Linked DNA regions of Oryctolagus cuniculus. The protein of the gene in region 2 interacts with the protein of the main gene of each other region in a biochemical or structural test. Links are inferred from orthologs where the notes say so. Each region holds a gene or a part of one and is shown on either strand. Other genes may lie near its edges. The genes, in order: HTRA2 and MAPK12.

What was found.
Region 1: of the proteins of MAPK12 (region 2) and HTRA2, one has a biochemical effect on the other in vitro, tested with the Homo sapiens proteins (2 studies listed by BioGRID and IntAct, with this or other methods). The link is inferred for Oryctolagus cuniculus from reciprocal best matches to the Homo sapiens genes MAPK12 and HTRA2.

Annotation. Positions count from the first base shown.
Region 1 is NC_091433.1:128,427,554-128,432,056, forward strand, and holds the start of HTRA2 (serine protease HTRA2, mitochondrial), read right to left. Parts: upstream 2,973-4,503; 5' UTR 2,864-2,972; coding exon 2,358-2,863; intron 2,238-2,357; coding exon 2,033-2,237; intron 1,934-2,032; coding exon 1,701-1,933; intron 1,557-1,700; coding exon 1,478-1,556; exon of another isoform or gene 1,446-1,477; intron 1,384-1,445; exon of another isoform or gene 1,262-1,383; coding exon 1,156-1,261; intron 1,019-1,155; coding exon 949-1,018; intron 274-948; coding exon 178-273; intron 82-177; coding exon 1-81. Other genes in the region: lipid droplet-regulating VLDL assembly factor AUP1, read left to right, coding at 3,249-3,298, 3,379-3,516, 3,596-4,117, 4,349-4,421.
Region 2 is NC_091442.1:123,209,000-123,213,231, forward strand, and holds the start of MAPK12 (mitogen-activated protein kinase 12), read right to left. Parts: upstream 3,069-4,232; 5' UTR 2,976-3,068; coding exon 2,851-2,975; intron 2,781-2,850; coding exon 2,651-2,780; intron 293-2,650; coding exon 234-292; intron 1-233. UniProt on the Homo sapiens protein: Serine/threonine kinase which acts as an essential component of the MAP kinase signal transduction pathway.

The DNA.
Region 1 (4,503 bases), on a different chromosome or scaffold from region 2:
ACAGCTTCATAAACATCTTCCGCATTTTGTACCAGCTGCTCCCCAATGGCCAAGATCACATCACCAGGCCGCAGACCTGCCCTGTGGGGAAAGATGGAGAGAAAGGGAGGAGACTGCCCCCTTCAAGGACCCACACACATGCCACCCACCCCTCCTCACAGCGCAGTCTCCCCTTACCGGTGTGCAGGGGAGCCCAGGATGACTTTATGGATGAGCACGCCATGCTGCACGTCAGGAAAGCTTGGCTCTCGCAGCTGTAGCTCAGCAAGGATGCTGCAAGGACACGGATCACCCTGGTAGCCACACTGCCGCACCCGCCCTCTCCTAAGTTCATCTCAAGCCTCCCATCACGCTGACACGTGTATGGACAGGACATGTACCGGTCAGTACAAAGGCGACTGATCACTTTCTGCCTCCTTGTGTTTCACAAGTGGGACATGTCCATGAAAGATAACTAATTCCAAATGACACCAGTGTTAAATCAATAGCACTAATGTCACTCTAGAATCCTGGGAAGCTTTAAGGAGCGAGTACAACTTAAGCTGAGCCTAGAAAGATGGGTCTATTAACTATGTAAAACAAGATCAGCATAAATAAAAACACGAAGCAGGAAACCAGGTTGGCTGGAACTGAGTATTCACATAGGAAGTAATGGGACCCAGGTCTGAAAGGATGATTTAGAGACACGGAAAACAGGCCAGGCTAACTGACAGCTTTAAATGAACACAGGAACAGGATGAAATCAATCTTATGACAGGTGTACAAAATGGAGTGAGGTGAGAAGGTCAAGATGATGAGAGGGGCCAGCTCTTGGGAGAGCCCCGAATGTGAGACAGCTCATCTTAGATAAAGTCAGGAAAGAAAGCAAACCAAGCTCAACGGAAGTGCCAGTTGCTCACCACTGATTCTACTGGTGGTCCCACATGTCATGACCCCAAATGCTCATACCTCGGAGTCAGAGTCAGCATCATCACTCCAATGTAGCGGCGCTGGGACCCACTGATTCCAAACCAGGAATCTGTGATACAGGGATGAATGAGCCCCATCCAGCTACATCCTTCCTTCCCCCTCACAACAGACTCCCCCTCCAGCAAGTCCCAAAGAATGTCCCACCCAGCTCTTAAAGGGAACCCCCACCCCTTGAGCCAGCCTCACTTTTCTTTTCTCCTCGATGCAAAAACTCCCGAAGGCGATCAGAAGGGATGGCAAAGGAGATTCCAGCTGTGACCTTCATGGTGTTCACTCCAATCACTTCCCCATCCTGCAGGGACACAGCCCCCTGTTCCCTAGCCCAAACAGATAGTAGGGGATGGGGGCCCCCGGAACACGAGTAGAAGCATGGAGTGTTGGGGGAATCTGTATTGGGAGACAGGCAACAAGAGCCTGCTCAGAAACATAAGCAAACATCCTAGAATTACTGAAGCCCCTCCCCTCCTCACACTGACCTGGGGCCTTGGAAGAAGAATGTCCCACTCACCAGGTTAACCAGGGGACCTCCAGAGTTTCCAAACTGCAGCACAAGGAGAAAACATGGGAAAGGTCTGGGAATTCTAAGTCTGGGGACACACACAGGAGGTAGGCACTCTCTCCAAACTTCTCTGCTTCCCCAACCCATACATGAGTGTGGCCACATTTCTGCAGCCCAACCTCTACCACCCCTCAGTTGGCACCTGTACCACCCAGCTCACCCTTGCCCGGACCTAGTCTGCCAATGCAATGCCCTTGCATCAGGACGCACATCAATAGCTGCATCAGTCTGAATGTATTCCACATTGGTTTGGGGGAGTCCCAGGTCTCTGGCTGGGCGCTGAGCAGAGCTGACAATGCCAGATGTGATCGTGTTCTGCAGCGCAAAGGGACTTCCCATGGCAACAACAAACTCCCCTTGCCGCACATCAGCCGAGCGTCCCAGAGGCAGTGTGGGGAGAGGCTCCTAAGGGAGAACGGGTACAGGAGACCTGTCATCTGGTGACGGGAGCTACAAGACAACTCCACACAAACCTGGCCTGCCCGCCCCCCCCCCGACCCCCACCTTGGTCTGTATCCTCAGCGTGGCGATGTCTGCCACGGGATCCACAGCGGTGACCATGGCCTCATATGTGTCGCCGCTAGGCAGCCTCACGCGGACTCGGCGCCGATCAGCCACCACATGGGCATTGGTAACGATGAGCCCGTCGGCCGCCACCACGAATCCTGAGCCGTTTGAGATAGGAACTTCGCGGCCCGAGAAAGGGTGCCTGGGATTGCCGCAGGGGTAAGGGGGCCTGGGTATAAGGAGGCTCTGACCACCCCACCACCACCGCTTGCCCGCCTCTAGGCCTGTGGCTTCAGTGCCTTCCAGTCAACCCTGTCTTTACCGGTCCAGGATCTCGATATAGACCACAGCAGGTGCCGTCTTCTCAACCACGTCTGCGATGAAGTTGTACTGGCTCCGCGGAGAGGTTGGCGGCGGAGCAGGGACTGAGGCGAGGACAGCCGGGGGACCCCGACCCCCGCCCCACAACAACAACAGCACCGCCCCCCCAGCGCCCAGCGCCACCGCCAGCCACACGCGTGGACGGGTTCCAGGGGTCCCCGAGGCCTCCCGCGGCCTGGAATCTGGGGCCCCTGCAGTCAGTCGTGGCCGGGGATCCGGGGACCCAGACGTCAGAAACGCCCGGGGTTCAGGGACCCCCACAGCCAACCGGGCCCGGAGACTGGGGGTCCCATAGGTCATCCGGGCCCGGAGGTCAGGAGTTCCTGACGTCAGCAGAGCCCGCAGGTCAGAGGTCAACAGGGGTCCCTTCCCCCATCGAATGCCCCCCAAAGCCCGCAATCCCCAGAGGCTCCAGCCTGCACCCCGCCCCGCCCTCAGCGCAGCCATCTGCTCCGCCTCGGCTGCCTCCTCGCCCGCCCTTCTCAGAGGCGGTGCCCAGGACGTAAGCGGGCGGACAGCAAGACGCGGCGCACGCCGGTATCTGAAGTCCTCCAGAAGTGCACGCCGGGACGCAGGATCCCGGAAAGTCGACGCCGCCCCGCCCCGCCCCGCCCCGCGAATGCCGGGAATTGTGGTTCCCGAGGGACGCGAGTTCCAAGGCGGCCCAAGGGGCCGCGGGGCATGCCGGGACCGCTAGCCCTTCCGGGGCGCCTCCGGACTTCGGGTTCCAGCACCCTGGGCGGATGCCCAAAGACTCCGCCTTCCCAGGAGCCCCTGCGGCCGGGCGCGAAGATGGCGGCGGCGACGGCCGGACACCCCTAAAGCAGCTGCTATGGAGCCTCCCCCGGCACCGGGGCCGGAGCGGCTCTTTGATTCGCACCGGTAAGAGCTTTCGCGGGAAGAAGCCAGCTCCCGGGCCGTCTCGACCTTCGGCACCCGATCACGTCGCCTTTCTCCCGCAGGCTCCCAGGTGACGGCTTCCTGCTCCTCGCGCTGCTGCTTTACGCGCCCGTCGGGTTCTGCCTCCTCGTCCTGCGCCTCTTTCTCGGGATCCACGTCTTCCTGGTCAGCTGCGCGCTGCCAGACAGCGTCCTTCGCAGGTTCCAATTCGGGGGCTCGGAGAGTGTCAGGAGTGGGCCCGGCCCGAGGCCGCACCGTCACTACCGCCTGTGTCCCCAGGTTCGTGGTGCGGACCATGTGTGCGGTTCTGGGACTCGTGGCCCGCCAGGAGGACTCTGGACTCCGGGATCACCGCGTCAGGGTCCTCATTTCCAATCACGTGACACCTTTCGACCACAACATCGTCAACCTGCTCACCACCTGTAGCACCGTGAGTGGGGGCCAAAGCCCCGCAGGGCAGTTCCTGGGGACCCAGCTCAAGGCTCGCCTATCCCCGTCGGGTTTCCCTTGGGCGATACAGAACCTTTCCCCTAATCCCGCTCCTTTACCCTCACATCAGTTTCCCTCATTTCCCTCCATGGGTTTCTTCTTGCTTTGTCTCCTCCGCGGTCCCCAGCCTCTACTCAACAGTCCCCCCAGCTTTGTGTGCTGGTCTCGGGGCTTCATGGAGATGGACGGGCAGGGGGAGCTGGTGGAGTCCCTCAAGAGATTCTGTGCTTCCACGAGGCTTCCTCCCACCCCTCTGCTGCTGTTCCCCGAGGAAGAGGCCACCAATGGCCGGGAGGGGCTTCTGCGCTTCAGGTAGGTGAGCACAGATATCGGGCTCAGTTGGGTAGGTGGGTTTCCACAGCCTTGTTTGGTTTCTACGCTCTCCGTCCCCAGCTCCTGTCCTTTATGTGCGCTTTTATTTCTTCACCCTCAATCCCTTCTCTTCATCTGCTTGTGCAGTTTGATAGTTTCCTGTTTTAAGGCAGATGTGAGCTACTGATTGGGCTGACTGGACTCCCATCCTCCTCTGTCTTCCTCTTCTAGCTCCTGGCCATTTTCCATCCAGGATGTGGTACAACCTCTTACCCTGCAAGTTCAGAGACCCCTGGTCTCTGTGGTGAGTGTGTGGGGAAGGGAAGCTTCGGGTCTTGGAGGGGAAGTTTTTCACCCCCAGCCCTGGCTCGGGCCTCACTTCATGC
Region 2 (4,232 bases):
GGAGGAGGAGGCCCGGGCTGTGTCTGGGTGTTCCAGTGCCCAAGGGTCCCAGGAACATGTTGGGAGGGGGTGTGGAGTGGCCTGGGTCCGGACACAGAGTGAACAGGGTGTATCCCAGCGCCCGTCACCATGGCTGTGGGGAAAGGCCCCCTGCCGACCCAGAACCTAACGCTGGTGCCCAGGAGCCAGCCAGTGCCCTACTGGCCTGCCCGGCCAGCCCAGCCAGCACTCACAAGTCTGTGAAGTCGTCCAGGGTCTCGTCTGGGGTGAACACGTCCAGCAGGCCGATCACCTGGGGGAGAGCCAGAGCGCCAGGTGGGGGAGGGTGCAGCAGAGGATGCAAGGGCTCGGTGGTGCCGCACAGTGGGCAGGACCCCCCCGCAGCTGGCCTCGTCTCCCCACTGGCTCAGCCCTGGCACCTTCACCCATGCACGGTTATTTTTGGGTGGTGACAGCTGGGATGCTCTGGGGGAGGGGCAGCCTCAAGTCTGTGCTGGCTCTGAACCACCCAGAGGGCTCCCAGCCCCTCGGCCTTCCTCCCCCCTTCCTCTTCCCAACCAAGCAGCCCACAGGACCAGGATGGGGACAGATACCCAAGAGGCCCTTCCCAGAGCCATTGCCTCTGCCGGTGCAACCCAGGCGGGCAACACAGGGACAGCCAGACCTGGTCCTGCAGAGGCCCCGTGAGGCGGCAAGGACAGCAAACAGGTGTCGACTGCACATGCAAGCAGCCAGGGTGGGGACGCTGGACCCGGCGGGCAGGGCCACGGGCAAGGTGGCACAGCACAAGGAGAGTAGGGACACAGGGAAGGAGACCAGGTGAGGCCAGGGCAGGGAGGAACCGACAGGTGCAGGTGTGGCTCTGATCCTGAGAACCACCACTGAAGAGTGTAAACCAGGGTGGGGTACAGAACACATCCCCCTGGCTGTGGGGCAAGGACAGGTGGGAGTGAGGCAAGAACAGACTGAGGGGCTGGCGCTGTGGCATGGTGGGTTAAGCCTCCACCTGCAGCACCAGCTTCCCATATGGGCACCAGTTCAAGTCCAGGCTGCTCCACTTCCGATCCTGCTCCCTGCTAATGCGCCTGGGAAAGCAGCAGAAGATGGCCCAAGTGCTTGGATACTCTGCATCCACGTGGGAGACCCAGATGAAGCTCCTGGCCCCGCCCTGGCCATTGCAGCCATATGGGGAGGGAGCCAGCAGATGGAAGCTCTCTCTTTCTCCGTAATTCTTTCAAATAAACAATCTTGAAAAAAAAAAAAAAAGAATATAGGTGGATGGACAGGTGGCTGCCCACAGCAGCCACCAGCACCAGAGTTGTGGGCAGAAGGGAATAGTGTGGGACATGTGGAGCAGGGCCTGGGGACAGGTGGGCTCACGGAGGTGACCACAGATGTGAAGACCTGGGGGCACTCTTGTGGGGGCTATCGGATGGACAGGGACTTCTGTGCCATGTAAGTAGATCACAGCCCAGAGTAGGGGGCCAGGGCTGAATCGAGGGAAGTGGCCCGGAGAGACCACAGGAGGGGGTCAAGGGAGGCAGGACTGGGACCCACGGCAGCTCCTTCCTCCCCTGAGCAAGGCACTCGGCTTCCTCGTGGGAGAACGGGGCTCCCGCAGGCAGAGCTGCCCAGCCGCAAGCAGCTCAGGAAGCCCCCAGGATGGCAGGACCCTCTGGCCTGGGGCTGCAGCACAGGGGATCGGAGATGGGTGGTGACTGAAGCCCAGAGCCCAGGCAGCACAGGGGGTGGTGGGTGAGCATGAATGCGAGTGTGGGTGAGAAGCTGGCTAAGACCTGCGGTCCAAGAGGCTGCCTCGTGGGATTGGTGTCCACCCCCAGTGGGTTTCACGCAGAAAGGGGTGAGCCCTGGCCAGGGGCGAGGTGGCAGTTGAGGAGAACAAAGGGCCTCCGAGAGCGTCAGTGGCCGACACCCAGGTTTGCTGCTGGACACGAGGAGTCCTTCTCCCAGGGTCTGGCAGCTCCAGGGACCTGGGAGACCAGAACATCCACCCAGACCATGGCCCTGAGACTGGGCCCACCCCAGGGGCTGAGACAGTGTGGCATGGATGGGAGGGGACAGAACTCTGGGCCCCAGGGAACCCGGGTGGAGGAGCGAGAACTCCCCCTGGCAGAAGGAGCTCCTAGCAGCCAGCAGTGGCCCTGGGAGACACCTGGGGCAGCCATGTGTGGGGAGCCAGGGGAAGGATGGGAAAAGATGCCCCCAGGAGGATGTGTGATGTCCTCGCAATGGCCTCCAGCCCTCAGCTCTGCAGACACCAGCTCCCTGAGCCATTGCTCCTACCGGAGACCCCACCCTCCCCGGGGATGGCCTTGCCCATGGCCCCTGCCTGCCTGGAGCAGAGTGGGCGCTGGAGAACGGCACTGGGACCAAAGGAGGGCGGTCCCTGGAAACAGGAACCCCTACCCGACACCCCGCCCCAGCACCCGCTCCCCAGCACGGGGCCGAGGCCTGGACAGAGCCCGGTCCCCGGCAGAGAAACCAGCTGCGGAACCAGCAGGCAGTCAGACGCTGGGCGGAAGGGAAAGGGTGTCCCCCACAGAGGGACTGCGCTGCCCCTCCCCTGCAGCGGGGACTGGAGGCCGGTGGGAGGGCCCCTCGGCCGGGAGGCGGGACCCCGCGTCCTCACGTTCTCGTGGCGCATGTGCTGGAGCAGGCGCAGCTCGCGGTAGGCACGCTTGGCGAACAGCTCCGACTGGAAGGGACGGTACAGCTTCTTGATGGCCACCTTGGCGCCCGTGCGGCTGTCCACTGCCGAGCTGCGGGGCGCACCGCTTAGCGGGGAGGCCAGGCCTGCCGACCCCCGCCCATCCCGCGGCCCGCGCTCACCACACGGCGCCGTAGGCGCCCGAGCCCACGGGCTGCAGGTCCTGGTACACAGCGCGCACCTCCCAGGCGGTCTTGGTCACCTCCTGGCGGTAAAAGCCCTTGCGGGCCGGTGGCGGCGAGCTCATCGCGGGCCGGCGAGGCTCCGCGCGCCCTCCGGCCCCGCAGCCCGCCGACCCCGGCCAGCCCCGGCAGCACGCGGCCCCTCCCCCGCTCGCGGACCAACCGGCCCCAGGGCCACGCACACGTGACGCCCCCGCCCGCCCTCCGGCCCCTCCGGAAACCCGAAGCGGCCGCCGCCCGGGGAGGGAGCAAGGCTGGGGGGAGGGGAGCGCCGGCCCTCGGCCCCAGCGCGGTCCTCCCGGGGCGCTGGGCTCATCCAAGGTCGCTATCCACCTGCCCTTCCGTTACCTCCGCCCAGCCCTTCGTCCCCGTCCCCTGGGCCAGGCCGCATCTCACGCGGGTGTCCAGATCCCCACCCCACTCCCAGGGTGCCCACATTACCATCCATCAGTCCCCGAAAGTTCAGCGCCCCACAGTGCACCTTAAAGATGTATTTATTTGAAAGGCAGTGTTACAGAAGGGAAGGCAGAGAGAGAATCTTCCATCTTCTGCTTCACTCCCCAGATGGCCTCAACTGCAGGAGCTGAGCCTATCCGAAGGCAGGAGCCAGGAGCCTCTTCCCGGTCTCCCATGTGGTGCTCACATGGACGCCAGCACTGCAGGCAGTAGCCCCCACATTTTACATTGTGTCTTGCCCGCATCCCTCCTTCCACGGGGAGAGGTTGGTTCCCCCCTCCTGAAGGTCACACGGCACGCCCAGCGCCCAGCCCTGTGCCTGCAGACCCCAGCCTCCCAACCTGGCAGCCAGAGGGGCACGCCCAGCTCCCCTTCTAGCACGGCTGCAGGTGGGGTGCCTGCTCCAGGCATCCGCCAGTGTGTCCTGAATCCCGGATGAACCGCACTGCCCTCTCTCCAGGAAGGTGGGCCTGCCCCCATGGGTGAAGCCCCCTCCCGAGAAAATCTGGGCCAGGGCCAGGGTCCCTGCCCCACCTCCATGCCCTGTCCATCCAGCTGCTTTGCACCTGGGCTTCATGGCAGGGGGGCTGGAGCACTCACCAGCTGTGAGCACTGGGCAGGGGCAGTGTGTGGCACTCCAGCCACGGCTTCCCCTTGTTTTCCACCTGCCTGACCCAAGAAGCCCCCGCCCTTCATGAGGGCCCAGGGCCTAGCAGGGCCCCATGCCACAGCAGGCTCTGGAGGTGGGTGTGTCACAAGCCCCGCCCCAGCTCTTACCCCAAATGATGGACATGGTCCCTCCTGGTCTCCAGGGCTCCCCCAGCAGTGGCCATCATACTGACCAGGCCTCTGGAGGTCCAATTCCC